Linked DNA regions of Macaca mulatta. The protein of the gene in region 4 interacts with the protein of the main gene of each other region in a biochemical or structural test. Links are inferred from orthologs where the notes say so. Each region holds a gene or a part of one and is shown on either strand. Other genes may lie near its edges. The genes, in order: JUN, MAPK1, KLF4, CREBBP, H3-4, ATF4 and SNAI1.

Region 1 (4,163 bases), on a different chromosome or scaffold from region 4:
GCATTCCCGACTTCGGGATTCTTTCCACCACACACTTTCGTCCCTAAGGGGTGGGGGGCGGGGGGAAGATAAAATAACAACCGCGGAAAAGGAACCACTTACATGTGTCTAGCGCTTCCTAGAGGCTACTCAGGATATGGGCCCACCACCCGGCCGGGAAGGCGGAGATTTGAAGTCCAGGTTCTACCCCGGGCTCCTGAGTTCTACTGCGTTACTTTATGCGAGTGTCCCCCGCCTTCTGAGCTTGTTTTCCCGGAAGCAACTCGGCGCGGGTGGAGAGTGTGTGCGTGTGTGTGTGTGTGTGCGCGCGCGCATGTTGTGCGTGTTGTGTTAAGCGTGTGTGTGTTGTCCGGGGGCGGGAAGGGGAGTAGACTAACACCGGGGTTCCCCGAGTTTCGGATCGCCTACACGCTTGTTCCCATCTGGACCCTGTTACCCACTAATTGCGCCCACTATAAAAACTGCCCCTCGGAGGCAAAGCTGTGATCCCCCGCGCCCTTTCCCCCACGGTCCCGGAGGATGAAGTGGGGTGCAACGGAGACTCAGCTGAGCGTCCAGTTTTGGGCAATACAAATCTCTCAGCTTCTAAGAGCAGCCAGACAACCCCGCGGACCATCCCTCCTGAACTTGACCGAGATGCAAACTTCGCAGCGTTTCTCAACGTGGGGGGCCGACTCTCGGGAGACCGCCCCCAAACTTAAGCCCCCTTAGGCTCGCCCCCAACTGGGACTTCACAGAGCCACCTTAAGGGCGGCGCTCCCGCCCCCCGGAAGTGCGGGGGGGCGGCGGACCTGGACTCTCAGCCTCCCGCCCCGCGCGGTGGCGGACGCCGGTGGATGACTTCGAGCCCCACAAGTGGGGAAACACAACCACCCCTCGCCCGCACCCTTGACCCAAAACAACTGGCCGGGTTCCCTGGCCTCCCGGGTCCCCGCATCCCCTGCATCCCAGTCCGCAGCCGTGAACTTGAGCCCCCTCCGTCAGATGTTGCGAGCGTCCGCCCGCTCGCGGCAGCCACCGTCACTAGACAGTCAAACCCCAAGACGTCAGCCCACAATGCACCGGGCGGGCCGGGAAAAACGGCCCGGGGAGGGGACCGGGGAAGAGAGGGCCGAGAGGCGTGCGGCAGGGGGGAGGGTAGGAGAAAGAAGGGCCCGACTGTAGGAGGGCAGCGGAGCATTACCTCATCCCGTGAGCCTCCGCGGGCCCAGAGAAGAATCTTCTAGGGTGGAGTCTCCATGGTGACGGGCGGGCCCGCCCCCCTGAGAGCGACGCGAGCCAATGGGAAGGCCTTGGGGTGACATCATGGGCTATTTTTAGGGGTTGACTGGTAGCAGATAAGTGTTGAGCTCGAGCTGGATAAGGGCTCAGAGTTGCACTGAGTGTGGCTGAAGCAGCGAGGCGGGAGTGGAGGTGCGCGGACTCAGGCAGGCAGACAGACACAACCAGCCAGCCAGGACGGCAGTATAGTCCGAACTGCAAATCTTATTTTCTTTTCCACCGTCTCTCCAACTGCCCAGAGCTAGCGCCTGTGGCTCCCGGGCTGGTGTTACGAGGAGTGCCCAGAGAGCCTGGTCTCCAGCCGCCCCCAGGAGGAGAGCCCTGCTGCCCAGGCGCTGTTGACAGCGGTGGCGAGCAGCGGTACCCACGCGCCCGCCGGGGGAAGTCGGCGAGCGACTGCAGCAGCAAAGAACTTTCTCGGCCCGGAGGACCGGAGACAACTGGCCCAGAGTCCCGGAGCGAACTTTTGCAAGCCTTTCCTGCGTCTTAGGCTATTCGGCGGCGGTAAAGACCAGGAGGCGGCGGACAGCCACGCAAAAGAAGAAGGACGTGCGCTCAGCTTCGCTCGCACCGGTTGCTGAACTTGGGCGAGCGCGAGCCGCGGCTGCCGGGCGCCCCCTCCCCCTCGCAGCGGAGGAGGGGACAAGTCGTCGGAGTCTGGGCGGCCGAGACCCGCCGCTGGTCGGCCTCTGCGGGTCGGCACTGATCCGCGCCGCCGGGAGAGCCGCTGCTCTGGGAAGCGAGTTCGCCCGCGGACTCCAAGGAACGGCGGCGCCCGAAGAGCGCTCAGTGAGTGACCGCGACTTTTCAAAGCCGGGTAGCGCGCGCGCGAGTCGACAAGTAAGAGTGCGGGAGGCATCTTAATTAACCCTGCGCTCCCTGGAGCGAGCTGGTGAGGAGGGCGCAGCGGGGACGACAACCAGCGGGTGCGCGCGCTCTTAGAGAAACTTTCCCTGCCAAAGGCCCCGGGGGGCACGGGTGTCCCCCGCTTGCCAGAGCGCTGTTGCGGCCCCGAAACTTCAGCACGCAGCCCAAACTAACCTCACGTGAAGTGACGGACTGTTCTATGACTGCAAAGATGGAAACGACCTTCTATGATGATGCCCTCAACGCCTCGTTCCTCCCGTCCGAGAGCGGAGCTTATGGCTACAGTAACCCCAAGATCCTGAAACAGAGCATGACCCTGAACCTGGCCGACCCAGTGGGGAGCCTGAAGCCGCACCTCCGCGCCAAGAACTCGGACCTCCTCACCTCGCCCGACGTGGGGCTGCTCAAGCTGGCGTCGCCCGAGCTGGAGCGCCTGATAATCCAGTCCAGCAACGGGCACATCACCACCACGCCGACCCCCACCCAGTTCCTGTGCCCCAAGAACGTGACAGACGAGCAGGAGGGCTTCGCCGAGGGCTTCGTGCGCGCCCTGGCCGAACTGCACAGCCAGAACACGCTGCCCAGCGTCACGTCAGCGGCGCAGCCGGTCAGCGGGGCGGGCATGGTAGCTCCAGCGGTAGCCTCGGTGGCAGGGGGCAGCGGCAGCGGAGGCTTCAGCGCCAGCCTGCACAGCGAGCCGCCCGTCTACGCCAACCTCAGCAACTTCAACCCAGGCGCGCTGAGCAGCGGCGGCGGGGCGCCCTCCTACGGCGCGGCCGGCCTGGCCTTTCCCGCGCAACCCCAGCAGCAGCAGCCGCCGCCGCAGCCGCCGCACCACCTGCCCCAGCAGATGCCCGTGCAGCACCCGCGGCTGCAAGCCCTGAAGGAGGAGCCTCAGACAGTGCCCGAGATGCCTGGCGAGACGCCGCCCCTGTCCCCCATTGACATGGAGTCCCAGGAGCGGATCAAGGCGGAGAGGAAGCGTATGAGGAACCGCATTGCTGCCTCCAAGTGCCGAAAAAGGAAGCTGGAGAGAATCGCCCGGCTGGAGGAAAAAGTGAAAACCTTGAAAGCTCAGAACTCGGAGCTGGCGTCCACGGCCAACATGCTCAGGGAACAGGTGGCACAGCTTAAACAGAAAGTCATGAACCACGTTAACAGTGGGTGCCAACTCATGCTAACGCAGCAGTTGCAAACATTTTGAAGAGAGACTGTTGGGGGCTGAGGGGCAACGGAGAAAAAAAATAACACAGAGAGACAGACTTGAGAACTTGACAAGTTGCGACGGAGAGAAAAAAGAAGTGTCCGAGAACTAAAGCCAAGGGTATCCAAGTTGGACTGGGTTGCGTCCTGACGGCGCCCCCAGTGTGCACGAGTGGGAAGGACTTGGCGCGCCCTCCCTTGGCGTGGAGCCAGGGAGCGGCCGCCTGCGGGCTGCCCCGCTTTGCGGACGGGCTGTCCCCGCGCGGACGGAACGTTGGACTTTTCGTTAACATTGACCAAGAACTGCATGGACCTAACATTCGATCTCATTCAGTATTAAAGGGGGGAGGGGGAGGGGGTTACAAACTGCAATAGAGACTGTAGATTGCTTCTGTAGTACTCATTAAGAACACAAAGCGGGGGGGAGGGCTGGGGAGGGGCGGCAGGAGGGAGGTTTGTGAGAGCGAGGCTGAGCCTACAGATGAACTCTTTCTGGCCTGCCTTCGTTAACTGTGTATGTACATATATATATTTTTTAATTTGATGAAAGCTGATTACTGTCAATAAACAGCTTCATGCCTTTGTAAGTTATTTCTTGTTTGTTTGTTTGGGTGTCCTGCCCAGTGTTGTTTGTAAATAAGAGATTTGGAGCACTCTGAGTTTACCATTTGTAATAAAGTATATAATTTTTTTATGTTTTGTTTCTGAAAATTCCAGAAAGGATATTTAAGAAAATACAATAAACTATTGAAAAGTACTCCCCTAACCTCTTTTCTGCATCATCTATAGATACTAGCTATCTAGGTGGAGTT
Region 2 (4,278 bases), on a different chromosome or scaffold from region 4:
GTTGTTTGTGACTGTTTCTGGGTCTGGTGTGTCTGTCTCTTTATCTCTAAATCTCGATGTTTTGGTTTTAGTGACTTCATCTTTGCATTTCTATTTCAGTACCTGCTGTCAATATTTCTGCCCATCTGTACCAATCTGGGTCTGTTTCCGAACGCAAATGTATCTCTCATGTGTTTCGACCCACTGACCCCTAATCCCTTACTCTCTGCTTTGTATTTCTTTTTTCTTTTCTTTCCTTTTTTTTTTTTTTTGGAGACGGAGTCTTGCTCTGTTGCCCAGCCTGGAGTGCAGTGGCGTGGCTCACCGTAACCTCCTCCTCCCGGGTTCAAGCGATTCTCCTGCCTCAGCCTCCCGTGTAGCTGGGATTACAGGCACCCACCACCACGCCAAGCTAATTTTTGTATTATTATTATTTTGTTTTCGAGACGGAGTCTTGTTCTGTCGCCCAGGCTGAAGTGCAGTGAGGCGATCTCAGCTCACTGCAACCTCCGCCTCCCGTGTTCAAGCCATCCTCCTGCCTCAGCCTCCCAAGTAACTGGGATAACAGGCGCCCGCCACCGCGCCCAGTTAAATTTTATATTTTTAGTAGAGACGGGGTTTTACCATGTTGGCCAGGCTGGTTTTGAACTCCTGATCTCGTGATCCGCCCGCCTCAGTTTCCCAAAGTGCTGGGATTACAGGCATGAGCCACCTCGCCCGGACTTAATTTTTGTATTTTCAGTAGAGACCTGGTCTCAAACTCCTGATCTCAAGTGATCCGCCCGCCTTGGCCTCCCAAAGTGACAGGCGTGAGACACCGCACCCTCCCTTCTGCTCTGTACTTCTTCATCCTACTTATCACAACTTGAGTATTACACGTATTTGTCTGTCTGTCTCTCTCTAAAAAGTAACTCCCAGGAACATGGAGTGTGCTCAACAAACATCTGAACCAACCTGATTCGCGTATCCTCTCTGTCTCCTTTTAATCTCAACAATTGTGTTTCACACTTTCTCAGTATGCAAATATCTTTCTCGGTCTGGGGTCATGCCTTTCGGTTTCTGCCCCAGTGCCAAGGCCTCTTAAGTTCATCAGCGTGTGGACCACGGATTCGCAGAGGCCTGAGCTGTGGCGCGGCCGGGCTATGGCGCGTCGTCGGGCCTCAAGCACAGCCCCTTGTCCCTCGCTGGCTCTGTTCGGTACTTCCTCGGGTGCTCGCCCGGGCCCCTGCCATCTCTCACTTCAGCCCCGTGGGTTCTGCCCCACGTCTGTCTCCCTGGGTGTCTGAAGAGACAAGTCCCGCGCCGACGCCCCCGCGAACGCACGTGACCGCGCCCGCTGGTGCCCCCTTAGTCAACGCCGCGCAGTACCCCTCCCGGAGCCCGCCGCTTCCGCTGGGCCGCGCGGCCCCGCCCCCAGCCGCTAGGAACCAATCCGCATGCACGCTGCTTGGCCCCGCCCGGGCACCCTTCTCGGCGCGCGCCCCTCCCTCCGCCCGCCCGCCGGCCCGCCCGTCAGTCTGGCAGGCAGGCAGGCAGTCGGTACGAGTTGTCGTGGGCTCTTCAGGTCTGCCACACGGCGTCTTCTTTCCTCCTCCCGGTCAGCGGCGGCGGCTGCACCGGCGGCGGCACAGTCCCTTCAGGAGGGGCGATAGAAGCTGAGCGGCGGCCGCCGAGCGTCGAGCTCAGCGCGGCGGAGGCGGCGGCGGCCCGGCAGCCAACATGGCGGCGGCGGCGGCGGCGGGCGCGGGCCCGGAGATGGTCCGCGGGCAGGTGTTCGACGTGGGACCGCGCTACACCAACCTCTCGTACATCGGCGAGGGTGCCTACGGCATGGTGTGGTGAGTGTCCGCGCCCGGCCACGCCCGGCCCCCCCGCCGCCCGGGGCCGCAGCGGACGCAGCCTCGGCCTCGCCGGCGCCTCGGCCTCGGGCGCCGCGGCGACCTCGAACCCGGACTTCACTGCGGTCCGCGCGCCAGGGCTCGGGCGGGGCCCTGGGCCGGTTGAGGTTTAGGTGGTGTTGCTCTCGCGCTTCCCGGGCCGGCGGTCGCTCGGGAAGGGGCGCAGCGTGGGGGGCGGGGGGCGGAGGCCGGGACTAGTGGACCCTCGGCCCCGGGCGCAGCGCCGCCTTTAAAGTCTGGACCCTCGGGAAGGCAACGGAAGCGCCTCCACCCCCCAATTTGCTAGTATCATGGCCTTCTTTTGGACTTTCGATTGTAAAACCGGGAATTCCATCAGATGCTTGTCGGTGTTGGCGGCGGTGGCTGCTGAGGTCCTGAAAGCGGTTCGCCTCCGTGTGTGTGCAGAACACCGAAATAATTTTTCTCTCCTCGCCTCTGTTTGCAGCCAACGGCTTTCATTAACTGTCCTCAGCGGTGCTAATGGTGGTCTCCGCGCAGGCTTTCTAAAATGGATTACTGACACCAGTGTTGGTGGAGTATTTCCGTCTTGAAGTTTGTACTTTCAAGTGGATTTTAATATCGTACTGCTAGCGTTTCAGGAAGGATAAACCAACATTACTCTCTTCATTTATTAAAGATCCATTTAGAGTTGGGCCTAATTTGACTTTTTTTTTAGCCCCCAAGTGAGCTCTTTTACCAGCATAAATGCTCCCAGATGTTTTAGCCCAATTGCTATGGACTCCTGTTAATGATTTAGTGGTCATTATGTATGCAGCCTTAATGGAGTTATTGCAGAATCACGTGTAGACTCCCTCATCTTGATTCAGGTCCCTTAGAAAAGTGAAATGATAGTGACGGTTTTTCTTTCTCTCTTTTTTTTGAGACGGGGTCTCGCTCTGTTGCCCAGGCTGAAGTGCAGTGGCGCGATCTCTGTTCACTTCAACCTCCGCCTCCTAGGTTCAAGCGATTCTCTTGCCTCAGCCTCCCTAGTAGCTGAGACTGCAGGCGCGCGCCACCACGCCCGGCTAATTTTTGTATTTTTTAGTAGAGACAGGGTGTCACCATGTTGACCCGGATGGTCTCGATCTATTGATCTAGTGATCCGCCCGTCTCGGCCTCCCAAAGTGCTGGGATTACAGGCGTGAGCCACCGCGCGCCGCTGACGGTATTGTTTTTATTAAAGCAAACTAGCGGTAGCATTTTGTGCTGGTGAGGACTTGTGGAAATAGATTTCCTTAAATCTGAATCTTGTGAATGTGTCTTTTGTGTTGACTGAAGGAAGTAAACTAATAATTTATTGAGCACTTCGTGGCAGGTACTGTGCTACATATATTATTTCATTTTATTTGAACAGCCACATTGAGGGAGGAAAAGATGGTGTTATTCCTTTTTTCAGGTGAGAAAGTGTTTCGAGGTGAAGCCAATTCCTGAGGTCATAGAACTAGAGTTATTAAGATTGTAGACTGAGATTCTACTAGACACACTGCAGCTCTTTTCAGCTGTCTTTAGGAAAACACTCTGCGTTCCTTAGTGTAATTAATACTTGCAGAATTTTCTGTATCTTACTGTTACAAAGTAAATACAAGTCTGTTTCAGAAATGTATTCAAATTTCAATCATCATAATTTTAGAAATGCCATAGAAGGCATGTTTTACCAAGTATGGTAGCTAGATAGAAAGATTAGTTAAAATTCTTTTAAAAGAGACTTTAATTGAATCTTTAATGTTTTCACTTTCTTTAGGAGCAAAATGCTGAATACAACTGTGAAAATTAATATGAACTCACAGGCTTAGGAGCCAAGAGAGAATTTAAATTAGGTCGAGCCTAAAAGAAATAAGGCCCTGAAAAGTAATGAAGAGAAAGTATTGCCAGTAGCATTATTTCTCCACCATACATCTCATTGCTGTTGCACTCACTGGGAAGCGTGCCAGTGAACATGTCTCATTATGAGAGGCTCAGAATTTCCCATCACATCCTTTGGCCCTTTTAACAAGATTAGCTTATCTAAAATGTGGACTGAAAAAAGTCTTTTACGTTTAGGACATGTCAATTGAAAAGATACCCCCATCTGATAAGATTTCTCCTGTCTGATAAGATTTTTACTAGTCTGAAGTTGTTTAGATGTGGGAACCACTTCTGTCACTGCTGTAGGCTTATTTGACCATCTGACTCTCCATTTGAAATGCTAAGTCCTCTTTTTGTGATTTTCTTTTCCTAAGTGAAATACAAATATAATTGGAATTTGAATCCTAGATCCAGATTATAGCCTTTTATCAGGTTGATGACATACCCTGCTGTTAACCTTCTCCATTGCACGTTATTAGCATTTAATAAATGTTGGCTAGCAGTGCTGGGTTTATGGAGGGCTTGTTGAAATATTCACTAATATTTGAATAGTGAT
Region 3 (4,270 bases), on a different chromosome or scaffold from region 4:
AGAAACTCCGTCTCTACGAAAAACAACAAAAATTAGCCGGGGTCGTAGAGCACGCCTGTAATCCCCGCTACTCGGGAGGCTGAGGCAGGAGAATCGCTTGAACCCAGGAGGAGGATGTTGCAGTGAGCTGAGATCGTGCCACTGCATTCCAGCCTGGGTGACAGAGCGAGTGTGTCCAAAAAGAAAAAGAAAGGAAAGAGAAAGAAGAAAGAAAGAGAGAGAAAGAAGGGGAGAGGGAGAGAGGGGGGGGGGGAGAGAGAGAGAGAGAGAGAGAGAGAGAGAGAGAGAGAGAGAGAGAAAGAGTGCTTCGAGACGGCTGGTTGAAAAGTGTCTCCGCGCCTCACAGTCCCTCTTCTCTCCCTCACCCCTTTGAGTAAATCTTGAGCCCTTTCATTCCCTTTCTCGCTTTTTAAAGTATCAAAACCATAACTCCCCACTCTTGCCTCTTTCTGCCTGTTCCCGGCGGAACACTCCTCTGGCCTTCTCCTGAGGCTCCCAGTTCACGCTGCACAGTGCTGGGCACCCGCTTCCTCTCCACACCCCTAGCGCCCCCCACCCCTCGGCAGAAGGGACCGCGAGGAACCGTGCGAGGTCAGGCCGAGCGCCGGCACGGGCACTGGCGCTGCGCGGCGAGAGCGGACTCCAGCGAGCGCAGGGAGGGAGGGGGAGACCGAGGGCTGGATGAGTCACGCGGATAATCGCGCTCTTCTCCAGCGCGCAGACAGCGCGGCAAGCGCGTATGCGAGCAGGGGTGGGGACGCGTGACCGTCCCGCCCGCTGACCCCACCAGTCTTCGCGGGCTTCGAACCCACGGAGCCGACAATGGCGGTGAGTACTGCCCTGGTCGCGCAGAGACCGAACCTGCGCCCGGTTCCTCGCGCCCAGCTCTGGGGCGGACGCCGCCGCCGCCGACACCACTGCCGCCGGCGTCAGCTCGGCTCCAGCCCGCCAGCTGCCCGGCTGGCGTCACGGCCCGGCCCGGCCCGGCCCCGCCCGCGCCCCTCCTTCCCCTCCCCCGCCCCCACGTGCGCCGAGTTTGTTGATTTAGCTGCCATAGCAACGATGGAGGGGAGCCTCGGGGGGGGCGGAGAGAAGAAAGGGAGGGGCGGGGCATGGGAGAAGGCGGAGGAAAAGGCTGTTAGCGAAGGAAGTTATAAGTAAGGAGCGCGCGCCGGCGGCCGGCAGTTCCCCGACCAGAGAGAGCGAACGTGTCTGCGGGCGCGCGGGGAGCAGAGGCGGTGGCGGGCGGCGGCGGCGGCACCGGGAGCCGCCGAGTGACCCTCCCCGCCCCTCTGGCCCCCCACCCTCGCACCCGCCCGTGGCCCGCGCCCATGGCCGCGCGCGTTCCACACAACTCCCCGGACTCCGCGCCCTGCGCCGCCAACCAGTTCGCAGCTCCGCGCCACCGCAGCCAGTCTCACCTGGCGGCACCATCCGCCCACCGCCCCGGCCACAGCCCCTGCGCCCACGGCAGCACTCAAGGCGACCGCGACAGCGGTGGGGGACGCTGCTGAGTGGAAGAGAGCGCAGCCCGGCCACCGGACCTACTTACTCGCCTTGCTGATTGTCTGTTTTTGAGTTTACAACTTTTCCAAGAACTTTTGTATACAAAGGAACTTTTTAAAAAGGACGCTTCCAATTTATATTTAATCCAAAGAAGAAGGATCTCGGCCAATTTGGGGTTTTCGGTTTTGGCTTCGTTTCTTCTCTACGTTGACTTTGGGGTTCGGGTGCCCCAGCTGCTTCGGGCTCCCGAGGACCTTTCTGGGCCCCCGAATTAATGAGGTAGGTGAGGCGCGCGGCGCTGGGAGCAGGGAGGGGTGAGGACCGGTGGGACGCGCCGGAACGACGGCCGAAAGCCGCCCCTGACTCTGTCTCTGCGCCCTGCCCGGCTCGCAGGCAGCCACCTGGCGAGTCTGACATGGCTGTCAGCGACGCGCTGCTCCCATCTTTCTCCACGTTCGCGTCTGGCCCGGCGGGAAGGGAGAAGACACTGCGTCAAGCAGGTGCCCCGAATAACGTGAGTATCGTATCACCCCGGGCCGCCGGGAACGCCCGGTGGGTTTCCGTGGGTGTGGTGGGGGCGGGCGGAGCTCTGGGGTCACTAAGCCACTGAACGAGGGTAAGGAGCGGCCACCGCGCGGACTCCGCAGCCTTCCCGGGTTAGCTTCCGTGCCCTTGGCTCAGCTGTACATGCCCGTGGTGCGAGCACTGCGGAGCCGCCTGGGGCGCAAGCCGGGTCTTCACCAGTCCCCGGGCGCCCTGTCGGTAGGGCGGGCGCGCGCAGGCCACCAGGCGGGAGGTGGCCGCATCCCCAGACACTGGCTGGGCCAGAGTGAGTTTAGCGCGTAGGCGGCCCCGTGGCTAGAGCGCACCGAGAGAGCCTCGGTGTGCCAATTCCGGGGACGTCCACGGGACTTGGCGGGGGAGGGACCAGCCGTGGCGCTCGCTCACACGCAATTGGGTAGACAGTACATAACGCCCGCGATACAGACGCATCACCTCTTCTCCGACCCGGGTGTGGGCCGAGATTGCAGCCCTGGCGCCCTGGGTTCCCGGGTGATTGCTGCCTGACCAGTCCCCATGTCTGGGCGGTGCAGTTGCGTGTGGCCCGCCAGCACGTCGGTATGTCGGGTGGCAACAGGGGACCACCACTGACGGGCCTCTCCCGCCCTGTCCCCTCAGCGCTGGCGGGAGGAGCTCTCCCACATGAAGCGACTTCCCCCGGTGCTTCCCGGCCGCCCGTATGACCTGGCGGCGGCGACCGTGGCCACAGACTTGGAGAGCGGCGTAGCCGGTGCGGCTTGCGGCGGTAGCAACCTGGCGCCCCTACCTCGGAGAGAGACCGAGGAGTTCAACGATCTCCTGGACCTGGACTTTATCCTCTCCAATTCGCTGACCCATCCTCCGGAGTCAGTGGCCGCCACCGTGTCCTCGTCAGCGTCAGCCTCTTCCTCGTCGTCCCCGTCGAGCAGCGGCCCTGCCAGCGCGCCCTCCACCTGCAGCTTCACCTATCCGATCCGGGCCGGGAGCGACCCGGGCGTGGCGCCGGGCGGCACGGGCGGAGGCCTCCTCTATGGGAGGGAGTCCGCTCCCCCTCCGACGGCTCCCTTCAACCTGGCGGACATCAACGACGTGAGCCCCTCGGGCGGCTTCGTGGCCGAGCTCCTCCGGCCAGAATTGGACCCGGTGTACATTCCGCCGCAGCAGCCGCCGCCGCCAGGTGGCGGGCTGATGGGCAAGTTCGTGCTGAAGGCGTCGCTGAGCGCCCCTGGCAGCGAGTACGGCAGCCCGTCGGTCATCAGCGTCAGCAAAGGCAGCCCTGACGGTAGCCACCCGGTGGTGGTGGCGCCCTACAACGGTGGGCCGCCGCGAACGTGCCCCAAGATTAAGCAGGAGGCGGTCTCCTCGTGCACCCACTTGGGCGCTGGACCCCCTCTCAGCAATGGCCACCGGCCGGCTGCACACGACTTCCCCCTGGGGCGGCAGCTCCCCAGCAGGACTACCCCGACCCTGGGTCTTGAGGAAGTGCTAAGCAGCAGGGACTGTCACCCTGCCCTGCCGCTTCCCCCCGGCTTCCATCCCCACCCGGGGCCCAATTACCCATCCTTCCTGCCCGACCAGATGCAGCCTCAAGTCCCGCCGCTCCATTACCAAGGTCAGTCCCGGGGATTTATAGCTCGGGCTGGGGAGCTCTGTGTGTGCTGGCCCCTTGGGGCACAGGGGATGATGCTCACCCCACCTTCTCCACCCCTAGAGCTCATGCCACCCGGTTCCTGCATGCCGGAGGAGCCCAAGCCAAAGAGGGGAAGACGATCGTGGCCCCGGAAAAGGACGGCCACCCACACTTGTGATTACGCGGGCTGCGGCAAAACCTACACAAAGAGTTCCCATCTCAAGGCACACCTGCGAACCCACACAGGTAGGGGGACAAACTGCGGAAGCAAGGGGTTAGCTTCCAGCCCTATGGGGCTACCAGTGGACACTCCTCAGTGCTTCCTTGGCTTCCCAGGGCAGTCTATCACCTTGATCTCTGGGATCACTGGGGAGGACAGCGAACCGGCGCCTACTTTTCTTCCTAGCCTTTTGCTTGATGGATGGTATCTGTGCTTGAATGTGCAATTTTGTTTGGCCTTTAAAAGGCAGAGATTCCCCGCGGTCTGTGGGCCTCTCCTAGCTTGGGCATTGTAATCAAGAAATTATACTTTGCTATGCAAAAGCATGATGGCTTTTTTTTAAACTAGGTTTTTAATGTTACCTTCCCAGGTTC
Region 4 (3,500 bases):
ATAAATAAAACTTAAACTATGTTTAATCTATTATCTGCTCTACACTTACAATTAAAGAAAAAAAGGAAAACAGCATTCACCCCTCACCACCCCATTTAAACTATTTTCTGTGCCACACATTTAGAAAGAATCAGTTTTGTGTGGTTCTCAGTCCACGTTCTTGTTGGACTGTCACTCAGAACTGAAACAGGGTCTTACTTTGTGGCCCCCAAGGAAGTCGGAAGAGCTGATTCTGAAATCAAGTTTGGGGGCTGCTGATCTGTTGTTATTCCTCCTGCTGGAATGTTCATTGGATTATTTCCTTTAAAGACAGAAAGAAATCAATCAACTCTTAAATTTTAATATATACTTCAAAGTTTTGATGACAGATAACCAACATGTCATCACATAAACAATTGGTGATTATTTAAATAAGTGATTCTGGTCAGTTATAATAAGCACTGAGGCAGGAACCCCGAGTGTCATATTTTCAATAATGGTAATCAACGTGCACAAATAATCAGTAGACACCTCCCCACTCTACTTTGTAACCAAAGTAAGGTGTGTTTATGGAGATTAGCTGGTATCTAAGTGAAAAAGTTATAAATGATCCATATGCAGCCTCTGACTTTCATTCTGCTTCATTAGTATCACTCCTGAGTGACTCAGCTGCACTGACATATACCTCTGTGTCTCCACCCCCAATATCAGAAAATAAAATCATAGAAATTAAGCTCAGGAAAAAAATACAGAGGTCAATTTGTCTACAATCTTCATATTAAAGTAAAGGAAGGCCGAGATTAATAAAGGTTAAGTTTGTCCTAAATTATACCATCAACAGGAGAGGAGTTAGATTAAGACTTGGGTCTCAGGACTCTAACCCAGTCTCCTGGCCACTATTAGTTAGACATTCACTGGGGCAGTTGTTTTCCAAAAAGCAACAAATAAGATGACTTTAGCTGGGCATATTTTAAGGAATAATTGTTAACCGTAAAATACTTTATTAGGAAAAGAACAAAACTAGCACAGCCAGCCAGCCAGTCTGGACTTCACAGACATCACTGCTTAGCTTAAGCCTAGATGTAAAGGGACTGTGTCCACTTAAAGAAAAATATTAAGGAAACCATATGCAGAAATGGCAAAAATCATGGGTATGTGTGAGCAAATGACCAAAGGTGGGCAAATAATGGGCTGGGGTGACAAAAGAAATGCTGACATGTCCAGCAGCCTGGGAAAAGAGTTTCCAGGGCTCCTGTCATTAACCTGCCGAAGTCCAGGCTGGTCACTTCCAACTGTGGGGTAGACCCTAACCAAGATGTGTGAGGAAGTGGCAAACGCAAGTTCTCCATCAAATAAATGACAACAGTCAGCACGAGGGGTCCAGTCAGCATCCTGACTTGTGAGATCTGCATTCTGAGCCACATGGCACATTCTTTATGAAAACTGTCCAGAGAGAAGTGGCACAGCAAGCAACAAAAACATTGCTTCATTTGCAAATGCTGCTCTTTTTATAAGCATATAACATTTTCCTTGCATTAGACACTTCAGCTTTTTACTGGGAGATTTTTATTTCAACCACTGTAGTAAAAAACACAAAACAAACTGAAAACTGCCTTGGGTTCCATCACTCCATTCCCTTTGCTATATTTGGACAAGTAAGAATGAAGTTGAGAGTTTCTTCACCTACCCAGGGGGTTGAGAGTCCTCATCTGCTGGTGGGTTTGAGGCTGTGCTGGTTGCTGGCCAGGAACCTGAGGCTGCAGCTGCGTCTGGGGCTGGTTCATGTAGGGGAGTCCGAGAGCAGCATAGGCTCGCTGCATGGAGCTGGGGTCTATGGGATTTGGGTTACTTAAAGAAGTGGCATTCTGTTGCCCTGTGCCAACAGAACCAATTGTGTTTTGAATTCCACTAGCTGGAGACCCCAGGATGGCTATAACGACAAACAGACAGACAAACGAGAAAGGTAAGTAAAAGGGAGAAGCCCACAAATGATTTAAAAAACTACTGAGAAGCAAATACATTTCATCAAAATACTACACATGAATATCATAAAGCAGTAAAACAAGGCTAGGGAGAAAGGAACTGTGCTGAAGGACTCATGTATTCTGCCTAGCAGTAAGTGAGGAACAAAAAGTGAAAGAAAAGTGAAGTTTCTATCTTAGCAGGCAACAGATCATAAAATTTCACAGATAACACCTGAAAAAAATTAGTATGTTTTAAAACCTAGAGACTCCTCAAGAGGTCAGTTCCAGGGAGTGGCAAATGTATGACAAGGGAAACGTCTGATTCTCTGGTGGGCAGCAGACACCTTGAGATGAACAGAGGAGCACCCTCCTGCTGTTAACCCCAACCCTGTCCTTCACTGCTCACCTGCACAGGTACAGAGGGCTTAAGAGAAGGAGCAGAGATGATACCTCGTTGGTCAGTTTTGATTAATAAATCTATGATGTGCTCTTCTAAATCACATAATCGCAAGTCCTTGAAACTTACACAAGCAATGACAGCATGAACACATCCTTCTGACGGGATTCCTATGCAGCAGAGCACCATGCTGAGCTCTCTGGTTATATGAAGCTGTTTAAGAAATACTGAACTTGACTGATTGACTGATTTGTTTGAAATTAAGGTTGGAGTGAGGCTTCGCAATTCCGCATGGGTCTTGTTATCCGGGGCCACCTCAGCACCTCTGATATTCAGGAGGTGGCTCTGCCTCACATGGCCAACATCAGATTCTGCTACCCAGGCCCACTGCTGGCTGGCAGGGAAGCTGCCCCATTCAGCTAGCTAACCCCAGGAGACTAAAGGAAAAACTGGTGTCAACATAAGAAGCTCCATCCCAAAGGGCTTCCAAGGTAATGGAGAGACTACTCCAAACTTGCATCAACTTGCATCAACTTGGGCATTTCAAAGTCAATTCATCTACCCACCTACCTACCCACCTGTTTGCCTGCCCACTCATCCGTCCCAACAACCCAAATGTTGTGTGAAAATTTATCATATGGCAGAAGTTCTACATCATACTATTTATTCTTATTTTTGAGTTCCTTTCTAACTTCCACAAATTTTAGAGTCATGTTAAAAATAGCATCCTACAGTGTTGCTACTATAACACATCATTTTTTGATACATAAAACACGATCACAAAGCCTTTCTTTCAAATTCCAACCACTATGTGTAACAGTAATATTCTCACATTCAACCATCAGTGCACCTATAGTAACCCCAATACTTACCCAGAGCGACCTAATTAAACTAAAATGTGTGAAAAGAAAATTCCTGGTAATTATACATTCCATACTATTAACTTTTCTAATAAGGATACTCAGATCAACTCATTAACACTCATCAGACACAATTACACACACCAAGCACTCATTATCATAAATGAAAAGCAACTCCCAAGGTGCACTTTATGACAAGTGTGTAGCTGAAGTAAGTCATGCACAATACCTTGAAAAGTATTCTAATACTTACTACTCCCCAAAACTTTAAACATGTGTCCACCATACTTCTGAAACTGA
Region 5 (3,617 bases), on a different chromosome or scaffold from region 4:
TATTGGCTTATGGTTTCCCAGGCTGTACAAGAAGCACGGTGGCTGGGTGCAGTGGCTCACGCCTGTAATCCCAGCTACTCGGGAGGCTGAGGCAGGAGAGTTGCTTGAACTTCCCGGGAGGCGGACGTTGTAGTGGGCTGAGATCACACCACTGCACTCCAGCCTGGGCAACAGGGTGAGACTCAGGTCAAAAAAACAAAAAAAGCACGGTGGCCCAGCATGGTGGCTCAAGCCTGTAATCCTAGCACTTTGGGAGGCCAAGGTCGGGGGATCAGTTGAACTCAGGAATTCAAGACCAGCTTGGTCAACATAATGACAGCCCATCTCTCCAAAAAATTTAAAAATTAGCTGGATGTGGTCCCAGCTACTTGGGAGGCTGAGGTAGGAGGGGCCTGGGCAACAGAGCAAGACTGAAAAAAGAAAGAGAGGAGGGGAGGGGAGGGAAGAAGATAAAAAGAAAGGAAAGGAAGGAAGGAAGAAAGGGAGCGAAGAAGGGAGGGAGGGAGAGAGAAAGGAAGGGAGGGAGGGAGAATGGAAGGAAGCAAGTATAGGGCCCACCTCTGCTTCTGGTGAGGGCCTCTGGCTGCTTCTGCTCATGGTGGAAGGTGAAGGGGAACCCATGTGTGTGCAGAGGTCACAGGACTGCACAAGAGAGGAAGCCAGAAAGAGAGGGGAGGGGAGTGCCAGGCTCTTTTCAACAACCAGCTCTTCAGGGAACCAACAGAGTGAGAACTCACCCTAAAGGAGGGCAGGACTCTATTCAGAGGGTGACACCTCCAGGACCCACACACCTCCCACTGAGCCCCGGCTCCAACTTTAGGGATCAAATTTCAGCTTCAGAGTTGGAGGAGATTTGGAAGCTTCCACCTTCTGGTCCTTGATGATAAGAACGTTCCCTTCCTTTTACTATAAGGAGAACATCTTTCATAGGGGAATTCTATTTCTTGCCTTTAAGAAACAACAAGAAATTCAGAATGATCTTCCTACACCTGCCTCTTTTTTTTTTTTTTTTTTTTTTTAAGTGCCTTTATCTCAAAAGAGTTAATATGCCAGAAAGGCATATCTTTACCTTCTTCAGCATCCTAAGGCTCATCTGAGCCATACAGCAAAGGGAGTTCTTTGCAGGTCATAAAAAGTGGAAGACTCCTTTAACTCTGGTTGGATCCCAGAGCTGTATCACTGTGTAAAAGTGGAATGCCGGCTGGGCGCGGTGGCTCACGCCTGTAATCCCAGCATTTTGGGAGGCTGAGGCAGGTGGATCACGAGGTCAGGAGATCGAGATCATCCTGGCTAACATGGTGAAACCCTGTCTCTACTAAAAATACAAAACAAAATTAGCCGGGTGTGGTGGTGGGCGCCTGTAGTCCCAGCTATTTGGGAGGCTGAGGCAGGAGAATTGCCTGAACCCTGGAGGCGGAGCTTGCAGTGAGCCGGGATTGCGCCACTGCACTCCAGCCTGGGTAACAGAGCGAGACTCCGTCTCAAAAAAAAAAAAAAAAAGTGGAATGCCAGCTGGGCCTGGTGGCTCATGCCTGTAATCCCAGCACTTTGGGAGGCCGAGGCAGGTGGATCACCTGAGGTCAGGAGTTTGAGACCAGCCTGGCCAATATGGTGAAAACCCATCTCTTTGTGGTGGATACCTGTAATCCCTGTAATCCCAGTTACTTGGTAGGCTGAGGCAGAAGAATCGCTTGAACCTGGGAGGTAGAGGTTGCAGTGAGCAGAGATCGCGCCATTGCACTCCAGCCTGGGCAACAAGAGTTAAACTCCATCTCAAAAAATTTTTTTAAAATTAATTTTTAAAAAAAGTGGAATGCCGCATGCTGGCTTTCGGAAGGCTCTTCCCACCCAAGTCATGAGGAAGGGAGAAGAGGATTGCTGAGGAGACACGAGGAAGCTTGTGCTGGAGAGAGATGATCTCCACCGCCGTGGCCTACCCGCATCAACCCTTCACAATGCTGGTGCTAGCTCTGGTGGCCACGACCAACAAGCACTAATATAAGGGAGAGGCGGCCGAGTGGCGTGCCCTGTGGACCAATCAGAGAGTAGGGGGCCATCACGCCACCTGAGGCCAGCCAATGAAAACGCGGCAAGCTCTATAAAAGCGGGCAATCAGCTTAGGTCTGGTCAGAGGACACAGCAGAGACAACAGTTTCAAATTCATGGCCCGAACCAAGCAGACTGCGCGCAAGTCGACGGGTGGCAAGGCGCCACGCAAGCAGCTGGCCACTAAGGTGGCTCGCAAGAGCGCACCCGCCACTGGCGGCGTGAAGAAGCCGCACCGCTACCGACCTGGCACAGTGGCGCTTCGCGAGATCCGCCGCTACCAGAAGTCCACTGAGCTGCTAATCCGCAAGCTGCCCTTCCAGCGGCTGGTGCGCGAGATCGCTCAGGACTTTAAGACCGACCTGCGCTTCCAGAGCTCGGCCGTGATGGCGCTGCAGGAGGCGTGCGAGTCTTACCTGGTTGGGCTGTTCGAGGACACCAACCTGTGTGCCATCCACGCCAAACGGGTCACCATCATGCCCAAGGACATCCAGCTGGCACGCCGTATCCGTGGGGAGCGGGCCTAGGAGGGCCATCTCGCCACCTGAGAGGTTGCGCAACGTTCACCCCAAAGGCTCTTTTAAGAGCCACCCACCTGGTCGGAAGAGTTGCTGTAGCAAGCCAGGCTCTTGGGTTTTGGGGGTTCCTTCCGCTGGCCGGTGCTGGCTTACCTAATTCTGATTAGGGTGGGAGGCTGGCGAATCCTGTGTTCACCCTGTCCAGTTAGGAGGCCAGCTACTCATGCGCGTTACCTCCCAGCCTGTCTCCAGTTACAAGTCCAGCTAGTCGTGTGTGGTGCTAACTTGGTCTATCCCTTTAGATAAGAATCATGGTTGGTCTGTTTGGGGACGGGGTGTTGAGGGTAGCGTAACTGGCCTATCTGCAGTTAGGTAAGCAACCCCAGCTAGTTGTGTCAACTCAGCCTATCTACAGTTAGGTTGGAAGGCTGGCTGGTCTTGTGTGTTCTCAGCTCAGCCTCTTTCAAACTGTTACAAGTCCTGCGTGTGTGTGTGTGTGTGTACACACAGCTTCTTTCCAGTGAGGTTACCAGTCCAGCTAGTCTCCTACCTAGACAGCCTGTTAAGGCCAGCAAGTAGTATGTGTTATCTTGGCCTATTTTCAGTTAGAAGTCCAGCTACTTCACCAGCGTGGCAGCTCAGGTCTGTAATCCCAGCACTTTGGGAGGCCAAGGCGGGTGGATCACCTGAGGTCAGGAGTTCCAGACCTGCCTGGCCAACATGGTGAAACCCCATCTCTACTAAAAAGACAAAAATTAGCCAGGTGTGGTGGCACATGCCCGTAATCCCAGCTACTTGGGAGGCTGAGGCAGGAGAACTGCTTGAACCCAGGAGACAGATGTTGCAGTGAGCCAAGATCATGCCACTGCACTCCAGCATGGGCAACAGAGCGAGACTCAGTCTCAAAACCAAAAAAAAAAAAAAAAAAAAAAACAAAGTCCAGCTACTTGTGTGTGTTAACTCAGCCTACCTCCTGTTAATTTAGAAAGCTGGCTAGTTGTATATCTTGTTAACTTGGGCTATCTCCCATTAGGTTAGAAGGCTGGCTAGGGG
Region 6 (3,873 bases), on a different chromosome or scaffold from region 4:
GGACGATGCGGAGGTTTCCTGTATTAAAACAGACTACCCCCCCTTCCCAACGCACAACCCCGAGCACGTGGCCGTGGGTTCCCAAGCGCCTCTCCTCCCAGGGCCATGGGCATGACCACCGAAAAGCGGGTTAGGCCGGGGAGTTCAGAACCCGGAGTGAATCGAAACTACCCCAGGTAGATGGCAGCGAAGAAAATTCTGTTCTTAGGGGAACGCAATCTTCGGACACCAGAAGTTCCCCTATGATGCTATTCTGTGGCAGCCTCGCACTTGAGCCGGATGAGAATTGTAAAAACCCAGGTTGGGAGACAGGACGGCGCGTCTTCCCGGCTCCTTTCCAGAGTTTAGACGGAGCCATGCAGACTCAGCTGGCCTTTGGGTGTAGGTGGGCAGGCCCGAGGCGCCCTCTCGAGACCCCTTCAACCTCCCGGGGGCAGCAACACCGTATCGGCTATGAATGGCGTCTCTGGAAAACTCAGGCTTGGAACAGGTAACCCCCCGGTTTCCGCAGGCCAGAAATCAGCCCCCGCAACCGAAGGACGCGCAGGCTGGGAGTGGCGGCGGGGCCGCCAGTGGCGGACCTCCACTGAGGGCGGCGGGACCCGACCGCAGGGGCTGGGCCCTGAGGCCACTATGGGGTGCGCTAGGCTAAGGTCTCCTGGGGGCAGGAGCCAGTGCGATTGTAGCTGGCCAGCAGGCTGGCCGGCCTGAGGCCTGGCAGAGACCCGAGACCCCGACCCTTACCACGCGGACTCCGTGATCCCTCTCCCAGCAGCCGCCCACCTGGGGCCCTGAGCCAATAAGAGCTCGAGGTATATATGACTCACCGTGCCTGGGCCAATCAACTTGACGCGCGCTCTTCGCCAGCACCTCGCGCGATAACCTGGCTTCCTCGGCCTTCACAATAAAAACTCTCCGCCGGAAAACGACCTCTCCCCGCCCACCGCGCCGACACCGGAAGCGAGGCGTGTCTGCGAGATCACTCCGCGCTCCGGCGGCGAAGGAAAGAACGGACTCTGATCATAGAAGTCTAGTAAAGTAGTGCACCTCTCTCGTTTCGTGAGGTCATAAGAACAAACACCTTTTCTCGTCACAGCTACGCGCTGGGCATAAACGGTTGGGGCGTCAAAGGGAGGGAAACGAGCGGGCGGGAGGAGATGGTCACGTGGCCGTGGCGGAAGGATGCGTCGGTGCTGCGTCCCCTTAGAGACGAAGTCTATAAAGGGCCGGCGGGCGGCTGCTGCGGCCATTTCTACTTCGTCCGCCCACAAATGTAGTTTGGTTTGCACGTGTGCGCCTTCCCTCCTCCCCGCCCGCAGGGTCCACGGCCACCATGGCGTATTAGGGGCAGCAGTGCCTGCGGCAGCATTGGCCTTTGCAGCGGCGGCAGCAGCACCAGGCTCTGCAGCGGCACCCCCCCCAGCGGCTTAAGCCATGGCGTGAGTACCAGGGCGGGTCGTCCAGCTGTGCTCCCTGGGCCGGCGCAGGATTTGGGTTGGTGGGGTGCGGCCTGGGGCCGGGGCGGTGCCGCCAAGGAGGAAGCGATTTTACGAGCGCCCGGGACGCGTGGTCTTTGCTTGGGTGTCCCCGAGACGCTCGCGTGCCCGGGATCGGGAAGGCGCATTCTGGTGCCAGGACTGCTTCCACAGGGGCCCTGCCGCCCTCGGACCCCGAGTCCCCCAAGGGTCCCAGGGGTCTCGGCTTTCCCCCCCGCGAAACGTGGCAAGAACCAAGATGGCGGCGGCAGGGCGGCGCCGCGGGCGTGAGTCAAGGGCGGGCGGTGGGCGGGGCGCGGCCGCCCTGGCCTTATTTGGACGCGGGGACGGAGCGCCTTCCTCTTGGTGGCCGGTGGAAGAATCGCCTGGTCTCCGTGAGCGTCCATTTTGTGGAACCTGAGCCGCAGCAGGGAGGGGCGGATGCAACTGCCCCGTTGCCGACTCTATAGATGGCTGGACTAGAGAAGTCCCGCCTCGTAAGTGGAAAGATGAAATTCTCAGACCAGCTAACCTCTAATGGGAGTTGGCTTCTGATTCCCATTCAGGCTTCTCACGGCATTCAGCAGCAGCGTTGCTGTAACCGACAAAGACATCTTCGAATTAAGCACATTCCTCGATTCCAGCAAAGCACCGCAACATGACCGAAATGAGCTTCCTGAGCAGCGAGGTGTTGGTGGGGGACTTGATGTCCCCCTTCGACCAGTCGGGTTTGGGGGCTGAAGAAAGCCTAGGTCTCTTAGATGACTACCTGGAGGTGGCCAAGCACTTCAAACCTCATGGGTTCTCCAGCGACAAGGCTAAGGCGGGCTCCTCCGAATGGCTGGCTGTGGATGGGTTGGTCAGTCCCTCCAACAACGGCAAGGGTGAGTGGGCCACCACCACATCGTCTGGGTGGGATCTAGGGTTAGGGGCCTGTTATCTTTGTATCTGACTCACTTGGCCCTGTCATTCAAATCTTTTGCAGAGGATGCCTTCTCCGGGACAGATTGGATGTTGGAGAAAATGGATTTGAAGGAGTTCGACTTTGATGCCCTGTTGGGTATAGATGACCTGGAAACCATGCCAGATGACCTTTTGACCACGTTGGATGACACGTGTGATCTCTTTGCCCCCCTAGTCCAGGAGACTAACAAGGAGCCCCCACAGACGGTGAACCCAATTGGCCATCTCCCAGAAAGTTTAACAAAACCCGACCAGGTTGCCCCCTTCACCTTCTTGCAACCTCTTCCCCTTTCCCCAGGGGTCCTGTCCTCCACTCCAGATCATTCCTTTAGTTTAGAGCTGGGCAGTGAAGTGGATATCACTGAAGGAGATAGGAAGCCAGATGCCACTGCTTATGTTGCCATGATCCCTCCGTGCATAAAGGAGGAAGACACCCCCTCAGATAATGATAGTGGCATCTGTATGAGCCCGGAGTCCTATCTGGGCTCTCCTCAGCATAGCCCGTCTACCAGGGGCTCTCCAAATAGGAGCCTCCCATCTCCAGGTGTTCTCTGTGGCTCTGCCCGCCCCAAACCTTACGACCCTCCTGGAGAGAAGATGGTAGAAGCAAAAGTAAAGGGTGAGAAACTGGATAAGAAGCTGAAAAAAATGGAGCAAAACAAGACAGCAGCCACTAGGTACCGCCAGAAGAAGAGGGCGGAGCAGGAGGCCCTCACTGGCGAGTGCAAAGAGCTGGAAAAGAAGAATGAGGCTTTAAAAGAGAGGGCGGATTCCCTGGCCAAGGAGATCCAGTACCTGAAAGATTTGATAGAAGAGGTCCGCAAGGCAAGGGGGAAGAAAAGGGTCCCCTAGTTGAGGGTAGTCAGGAGCGTCAGTGTGCTTGTACATAGAGTCTCTGCTGTTGCTGTGTGTTGGAATAAATTATTTTGTAGGGAAAGTACTTGTGTGAATTCCTTTTCTGGCAAATTAGCCGAGTGAGGCGCCAACCACGCATCCCAAACTGGTTATAACATTCCTTGTGAGATCTGGGGAGGAGGGCAGTCCAGGACTGAAGATGGGTACCCAGAGTGGGAACTGCTCGCCCTGCTAGGTGTAAGCCACGATGTCTGATGACTCATGGGGCCATACAGCCGGATAGTTGGCCAACTGTAGCAAGTTGGGTCCTTTACCCAGAGGTGAGTTCGCTGGTTGTGTAGGGAGGAGGCTGGAGCTCTCTGAGAGGTTGGGAGGGAGGGACAGCCTGGGCCTCTTACCTATTTATTCAAGAGGGCTTCATGCCAACAGCTGTCGCCTGAAACCCTGGATAAGCTTGCACAGTCCTTGAGATAAGCACACAAGATTAGTTTTCACTTGTTACCCTGAGTTCTGTAGAAACGTGTTCCTGAAGAAAGAAATGGCTCCTTTTCGGAATTGATGCTGAAGCAGGACAGGAGCT
Region 7 (3,993 bases), on a different chromosome or scaffold from region 4:
GAGGGTTTGAGCAGAGGAGGGGGTGCTCTGGCCTCACTCTGGCTTCCAGCAGAGGATCCTGATTGGAGCTAAATTGACACGGGAGGGAGAGTATTCCGCCTAATAACTGCTTCCTGCCTATGTCCTCCACCCTACTCCCCACTCTCCAGCTAGAAACAGGGGAAGACGATTTTGTTCACGGCTGTTACATCCGGCACCAAGTGACCAAAACAGACAGTAGTTCTGCCCTTCATGTTGCTGGTGGTGGTGTGGGGTGCTTATAGGTTTTTCTAGTCTTCCTTCACAGGTGGAAACAAGAACGGTGAGACCTGTGAGGTTTATTTCAGCGCTACTCCCGGGCCTGGTATGCCTCCCAGGGAAGCTGGGGTGGGGGTGCAGCTGCCCCTCACCTGGGCCCACCCCACATGCATTCAGTCAGGGCCCCTACAGAGCAACGTTAGAGCCTTTAGACACAGGATCGAGGATCTTCACAGGGGTGAGGAGACACGCCCGGCCCATCCCTTCTTTCTCCCGCCGGCCTACAAGGATCTTTTTCTACGAAACTCTAACCAGGTCCCTCGTCAGCTGAAAATCCTTCGGTGGCTCCCCAGTGCCTTTGAGGCAAAGTCCAACCTCCTACGAGGCCCTGGGGCACAGCACATCTGACCCTTCCGGGCCTGCCCACCCCACGCCATCCCTGAGAGCTGCTCTCTAGGAGTTACTCTGAAGCAGTTGCCACTTCTTCCCTCGGGCCTTTTCCCTTGATAATTCTTCACTTCCTCTGGGAAGTCACCCCGACCCCCTGTCAGGTGACCCGCCTCTTAACGGTCGCTGCGTCCCGTCTCTCCCCCGCCAAAGCACACTTCCCTTTGCATTGTAATTGTCTGTTTACTTCGTCTGTCTCCCCCACTGGACCGGGAGCTACCCTTCGGGAGAGGCCTTGAATGTCCTGTCCGGGGCTGTGCCCTGCCCCAGGTACAGCTGGGCCCTCCGCAAACACTGGCTAAGGGAAGGAACGGGCGCTCTTCGCTAGCTGGGCCAGGCTGCTTTGCAAAACGGCCGTAGCATTTCACGCCGCCAGGAGCCACGTGCGGTGTCCGTTTCCTCGCTTCCTCCCCAGCAATGTGCATTTCCCTCGTCAATGCCACGCTCTCCAGGCGCCAGCCGGGCGGAGGAAATTTCCGCCCCCTCCTAAGCCCGAGGCGGGGGCGGGCGTCGGAAGGTCAGGTGTCCCGGCCCGCGCGCAGCGCCAGGGGGCGTCAGAAGCGCTCCGACCACGGGGCGCTGAGCAGGTGGGCGCGCGGCGTTCTGGCGGGGTCCCACCTCGCAGGGGCCTCGCTTCGCTCGACGTCCCGCCCCGGACAGTCCGAGCACCACGGACGACCCGCGCTGCGCCTGCGAACTCCGCCTCGGAGGAGCCCCCGCCCGGGCTCCCAGCGCCACGCGGCGCGAGCCCGGCCAGCCCCCGGCGCACCTGCTCGGGGAGTGGCCTTCGGCGGAGACGGGCCTCCGATTGGCGCGGAGGTGACAAAGGGGCGTGGCAGATGAGGCCCCTCCCCTCCCACCCCCTTGGAGTATTTAAGGGAGTTGGCGGCGCGGCTGCTCTCATTGCGCCGCGGTCCGGCCTTGTGAGTGGTACGTTTGCGCTGCTCCTGCGCGACTCGGCGACCCCAGTGCCTCGGCCACCATGCCGCGCTCTTTCCTCGTCAGAAAGCCCTCCGACCCCAATCGGAAGCCTAACTACAGCGAGCTGCAGGACTCTAATCCAGGTGTGTTGGAGGGGTGGTGGGCTCCAGGAGGTTTGGGGGAGACAGGCGAAGGCTGCGTGGGGGCCACCTGAGGGAGGCGGCCTGTCTGAGCCAGGATCGAGTCACAGGGTGTTTTGTGGAGCATTGCGGGCTCGGGCTCGGGCTCGGGAGACCGGGCAGGTGGGTCCCCAGTCCTGGGGATCGGTCTGGGTGGTTGGGGGAGTGCTGTGTAGAGAGCAGGGGTTTTGTGCTTGGGTGGCCTGTGTAGCCGGCGAGAGGCGGAGGAGCTCCGCGAGAGTGGGAGAGGAGGCCTGTGTCAGGAAGGCCCTCTGGACGCTGCTGGGGAGAGTCCGGAGTCCAGAGGGTTGAGGGGAGGGGTGGGGAGACGAGATGTGTGTGAGGAGGGGGATTGGGGCAGGGTGGTGGCTCCAGGGCTGGGGTGATGGGGTTCTGGCCTCAGGCTGGGGACTTGGGACTTAGGAGAGGGAGATCTGGAAATGACCCCCTTCAACTGGGGGTCCTACCTGTGAGAGACTCAGATTGGGTGACCTGGGCCAGGAGGGCAGGAACCTGGTCTGTCCTGTGGATCATTTTTTTTATCTAATTATGTGTTGAGAATCAGCCCTACCCAGCCCCTGGCCAGCGGTGGGTTCATGTTTGTTGATTGAGTGAATGATTTAATTAACGCCTGACTCTGCTTTTTCTCTCTCAGAGTTTACCTTCCAGCAGCCCTACGACCAGGCCCACCTGCTGGCAGCCATCCCACCTCCAGAGATCCTCAATCCCACCGCCTCGCTGCCAATGCTCATCTGGGACTCTGTCCTGGCGCCCCAAGCCCAGCCAATTGCCTGGGCCTCCCTTCGGCCCCAGGAGAGTCCCAGGGCGGCAGAGCTGACCTCCCTGTCGGACGAGGACAGTGGGAAAGGCTCCCAGCCTCCCAGCCCACCCTCACCGGCTACTTCGTCCTTCTCCTCTACTTCAGCCTCTTCCTTGGAGGCTGAGGCCTATGCTGCCTTCCCAGGCTTGGGCCAAGTGCCCAAGCAGCTGGCCCAGCTCTCTGAGGCCAAGGATCTCCAGTCTCGAAAGGCCTTCAACTGCAAATACTGCAACAAGGAATACCTCAGCCTGGGTGCCCTCAAGATGCACATCCGAAGCCACACGCTGCCCTGCGTCTGCGGAACCTGCGGGAAGGCCTTCTCCAGGCCCTGGCTGCTACAAGGCCATGTCCGGACCCACACTGGTAAGTGCCCCTCCAGGCGCCCCCACCGTTGCTTTCTGTGGCAGCTTTGTGAATTGGGACTTGCTGTTCTCATTCGCAAAGTTGTGGACACTGAGGCCCCGAGTCTCCTAACTTCCAGCTCAAGTTCAGGGGCCTGCTCTCTGGAAATGTTTGGCAGAAACGTTCCTTCATCAGCTAAGCAGATGAGCAAAGCAGACACCTTCCCAATCCCTGCAGCCTGTTTCTCAGCCAAATGGGCTGGAGCTGGATATCGGAAAAGTGCAACCAACACCTTGCTCTGGGGGCCACAGGTGTGAAGGGGCCCACCCAGCCCCACCCTCTCCCGGTCCGCCCCCTCCCTAGCCAGACAGGATGTTGTCAGACCCCCCACCTGGCTCTGAATCCTTTGAGAACTTTCTCAAAGCTTAGGCTGATGTTTCACTTCTGTGAGCCTCATTTTCTCTATCTTTCAGATGGGCATGAGAACAGCTTGTGGGGTTTCTGTACGGGCTAAATGCAGGAATGCATATGGGAATCACCTGGCAAAGTGCCGGGTACCTGCTAAACTGTCACAAAAATGGTTCCTTGGCATTTGCTCTGCTTCCCTGCTGTGTGACTTTGGGCAAGCAACTTAACCTCTCTGAGACTCGGGAGAATTATGATGGCATATGTTTTAGAGAGTGGCTGTAGGCCGGGCGCGGTGGCTCAAGCCTGTAATCCCAGCACTTTGGGAGGCCGAGACGGGCGGATCACAAGGTCAGGAGATCGAGACCAGCCTGGCTAACATGGTGAAACCCCGTCTCTACTAAAAAAAATACAAAAAACTAGCCGGGTGAGGTGGCAGGCGCCTGTAGTCCCAGCTACTCGGGAGGCTGAGGCAGGAGAATGGCGTAGACCCGGGAGGCGGAGCTGAGATGCGGCCACTGCACTCCAGCCTGGGCGACAGAGTGAGACTCCGTCTCAAAAAAAAAAAAAAAAAAAAAAAGAGAGTGGCTGTAAAGGTGGCTAATCACTTTATAGTAATTTATTATACCCGAATAGTTCTCA

Evidence for each region.
Region 1: the proteins of CREBBP (region 4) and JUN form a complex in vitro, tested with the Homo sapiens proteins (4 studies listed by BioGRID, with this or other methods). The link is inferred for Macaca mulatta from reciprocal best matches to the Homo sapiens genes CREBBP and JUN.
Region 2: of the proteins of CREBBP (region 4) and MAPK1, one has a biochemical effect on the other in vitro, tested with the Homo sapiens proteins (2 studies listed by BioGRID). The link is inferred for Macaca mulatta from reciprocal best matches to the Homo sapiens genes CREBBP and MAPK1.
Region 3: the proteins of CREBBP (region 4) and KLF4 form a complex in vitro, tested with the Homo sapiens proteins (2 studies listed by BioGRID, with this or other methods). The link is inferred for Macaca mulatta from reciprocal best matches to the Homo sapiens genes CREBBP and KLF4.
Region 5: of the proteins of CREBBP (region 4) and H3-4, one has a biochemical effect on the other in vitro, tested with the Homo sapiens proteins (2 studies listed by BioGRID). The link is inferred for Macaca mulatta from reciprocal best matches to the Homo sapiens genes CREBBP and H3-4.
Region 6: the proteins of CREBBP (region 4) and ATF4 form a complex in vitro, tested with the Homo sapiens proteins (2 studies listed by BioGRID). The link is inferred for Macaca mulatta from reciprocal best matches to the Homo sapiens genes CREBBP and ATF4.
Region 7: the proteins of CREBBP (region 4) and SNAI1 form a complex in vitro, tested with the Homo sapiens proteins (2 studies listed by BioGRID, with this or other methods). The link is inferred for Macaca mulatta from reciprocal best matches to the Homo sapiens genes CREBBP and SNAI1.

What each region holds. Positions count from the first base shown.
Region 1 is NC_133406.1:181,864,933-181,869,095, forward strand, and holds JUN (transcription factor Jun), read left to right. Parts: upstream 1-1,363; 5' UTR 1,364-2,347; coding exon 2,348-3,352; 3' UTR 3,353-3,680; downstream 3,681-4,163. UniProt on the Homo sapiens protein: Transcription factor that recognizes and binds to the AP-1 consensus motif 5'-TGA[GC]TCA-3'.
Region 2 is NC_133415.1:31,122,609-31,126,886, forward strand, and holds the start of MAPK1 (mitogen-activated protein kinase 1), read left to right. Parts: upstream 1-1,478; 5' UTR 1,479-1,698; coding exon 1,699-1,817; intron 1,818-4,278. UniProt on the Homo sapiens protein: Serine/threonine kinase which acts as an essential component of the MAP kinase signal transduction pathway. MAPK1/ERK2 and MAPK3/ERK1 are the 2 MAPKs which play an important role in the MAPK/ERK cascade.
Region 3 is NC_133420.1:50,899,392-50,903,661, forward strand, and holds the start of KLF4 (Krueppel-like factor 4), read left to right. Parts: upstream 1-1,470; 5' UTR 1,471-1,780; coding exon 1,781-1,785; intron 1,786-1,899; coding exon 1,900-2,020; intron 2,021-2,685; coding exon 2,686-3,658; coding exon of another isoform or gene 3,659-3,757; coding exon 3,758-3,922; intron 3,923-4,270. UniProt on the Homo sapiens protein: Transcription factor; can act both as activator and as repressor. Binds the 5'-CACCC-3' core sequence. Binds to the promoter region of its own gene and can activate its own transcription.
Region 4 is NC_133425.1:5,006,099-5,009,598, forward strand, and holds part of CREBBP (CREB-binding protein), read right to left. Parts: intron 1,910-3,500; coding exon 1,667-1,909; intron 302-1,666; coding exon 199-301; intron 1-198. UniProt on the Homo sapiens protein: Acetylates histones, giving a specific tag for transcriptional activation. Mediates acetylation of histone H3 at 'Lys-18' and 'Lys-27' (H3K18ac and H3K27ac, respectively).
Region 5 is NC_133406.1:86,178,103-86,181,719, reverse strand, and holds H3-4 (histone H3.1), read left to right. Parts: upstream 1-1,448; 5' UTR 1,449-2,162; coding exon 2,163-2,573; 3' UTR 2,574-3,117; downstream 3,118-3,617. UniProt on the Homo sapiens protein: Core component of nucleosome. Nucleosomes wrap and compact DNA into chromatin, limiting DNA accessibility to the cellular machineries which require DNA as a template.
Region 6 is NC_133415.1:12,021,357-12,025,229, reverse strand, and holds ATF4 (cyclic AMP-dependent transcription factor ATF-4), read left to right. Parts: upstream 1-1,459; 5' UTR 1,460-2,133; coding exon 2,134-2,359; intron 2,360-2,460; coding exon 2,461-3,290; 3' UTR 3,291-3,373; downstream 3,374-3,873. UniProt on the Homo sapiens protein: Transcription factor that binds the cAMP response element (CRE) (consensus: 5'-GTGACGT[AC][AG]-3') and displays two biological functions, as regulator of metabolic and redox processes under normal cellular conditions, and as master transcription factor during integrated stress response (ISR).
Region 7 is NC_133415.1:102,823,108-102,827,100, forward strand, and holds the start of SNAI1 (zinc finger protein SNAI1), read left to right. Parts: upstream 1-1,193; 5' UTR 1,194-1,666; coding exon 1,667-1,748; intron 1,749-2,439; coding exon 2,440-2,967; intron 2,968-3,993. UniProt on the Homo sapiens protein: Involved in induction of the epithelial to mesenchymal transition (EMT), formation and maintenance of embryonic mesoderm, growth arrest, survival and cell migration.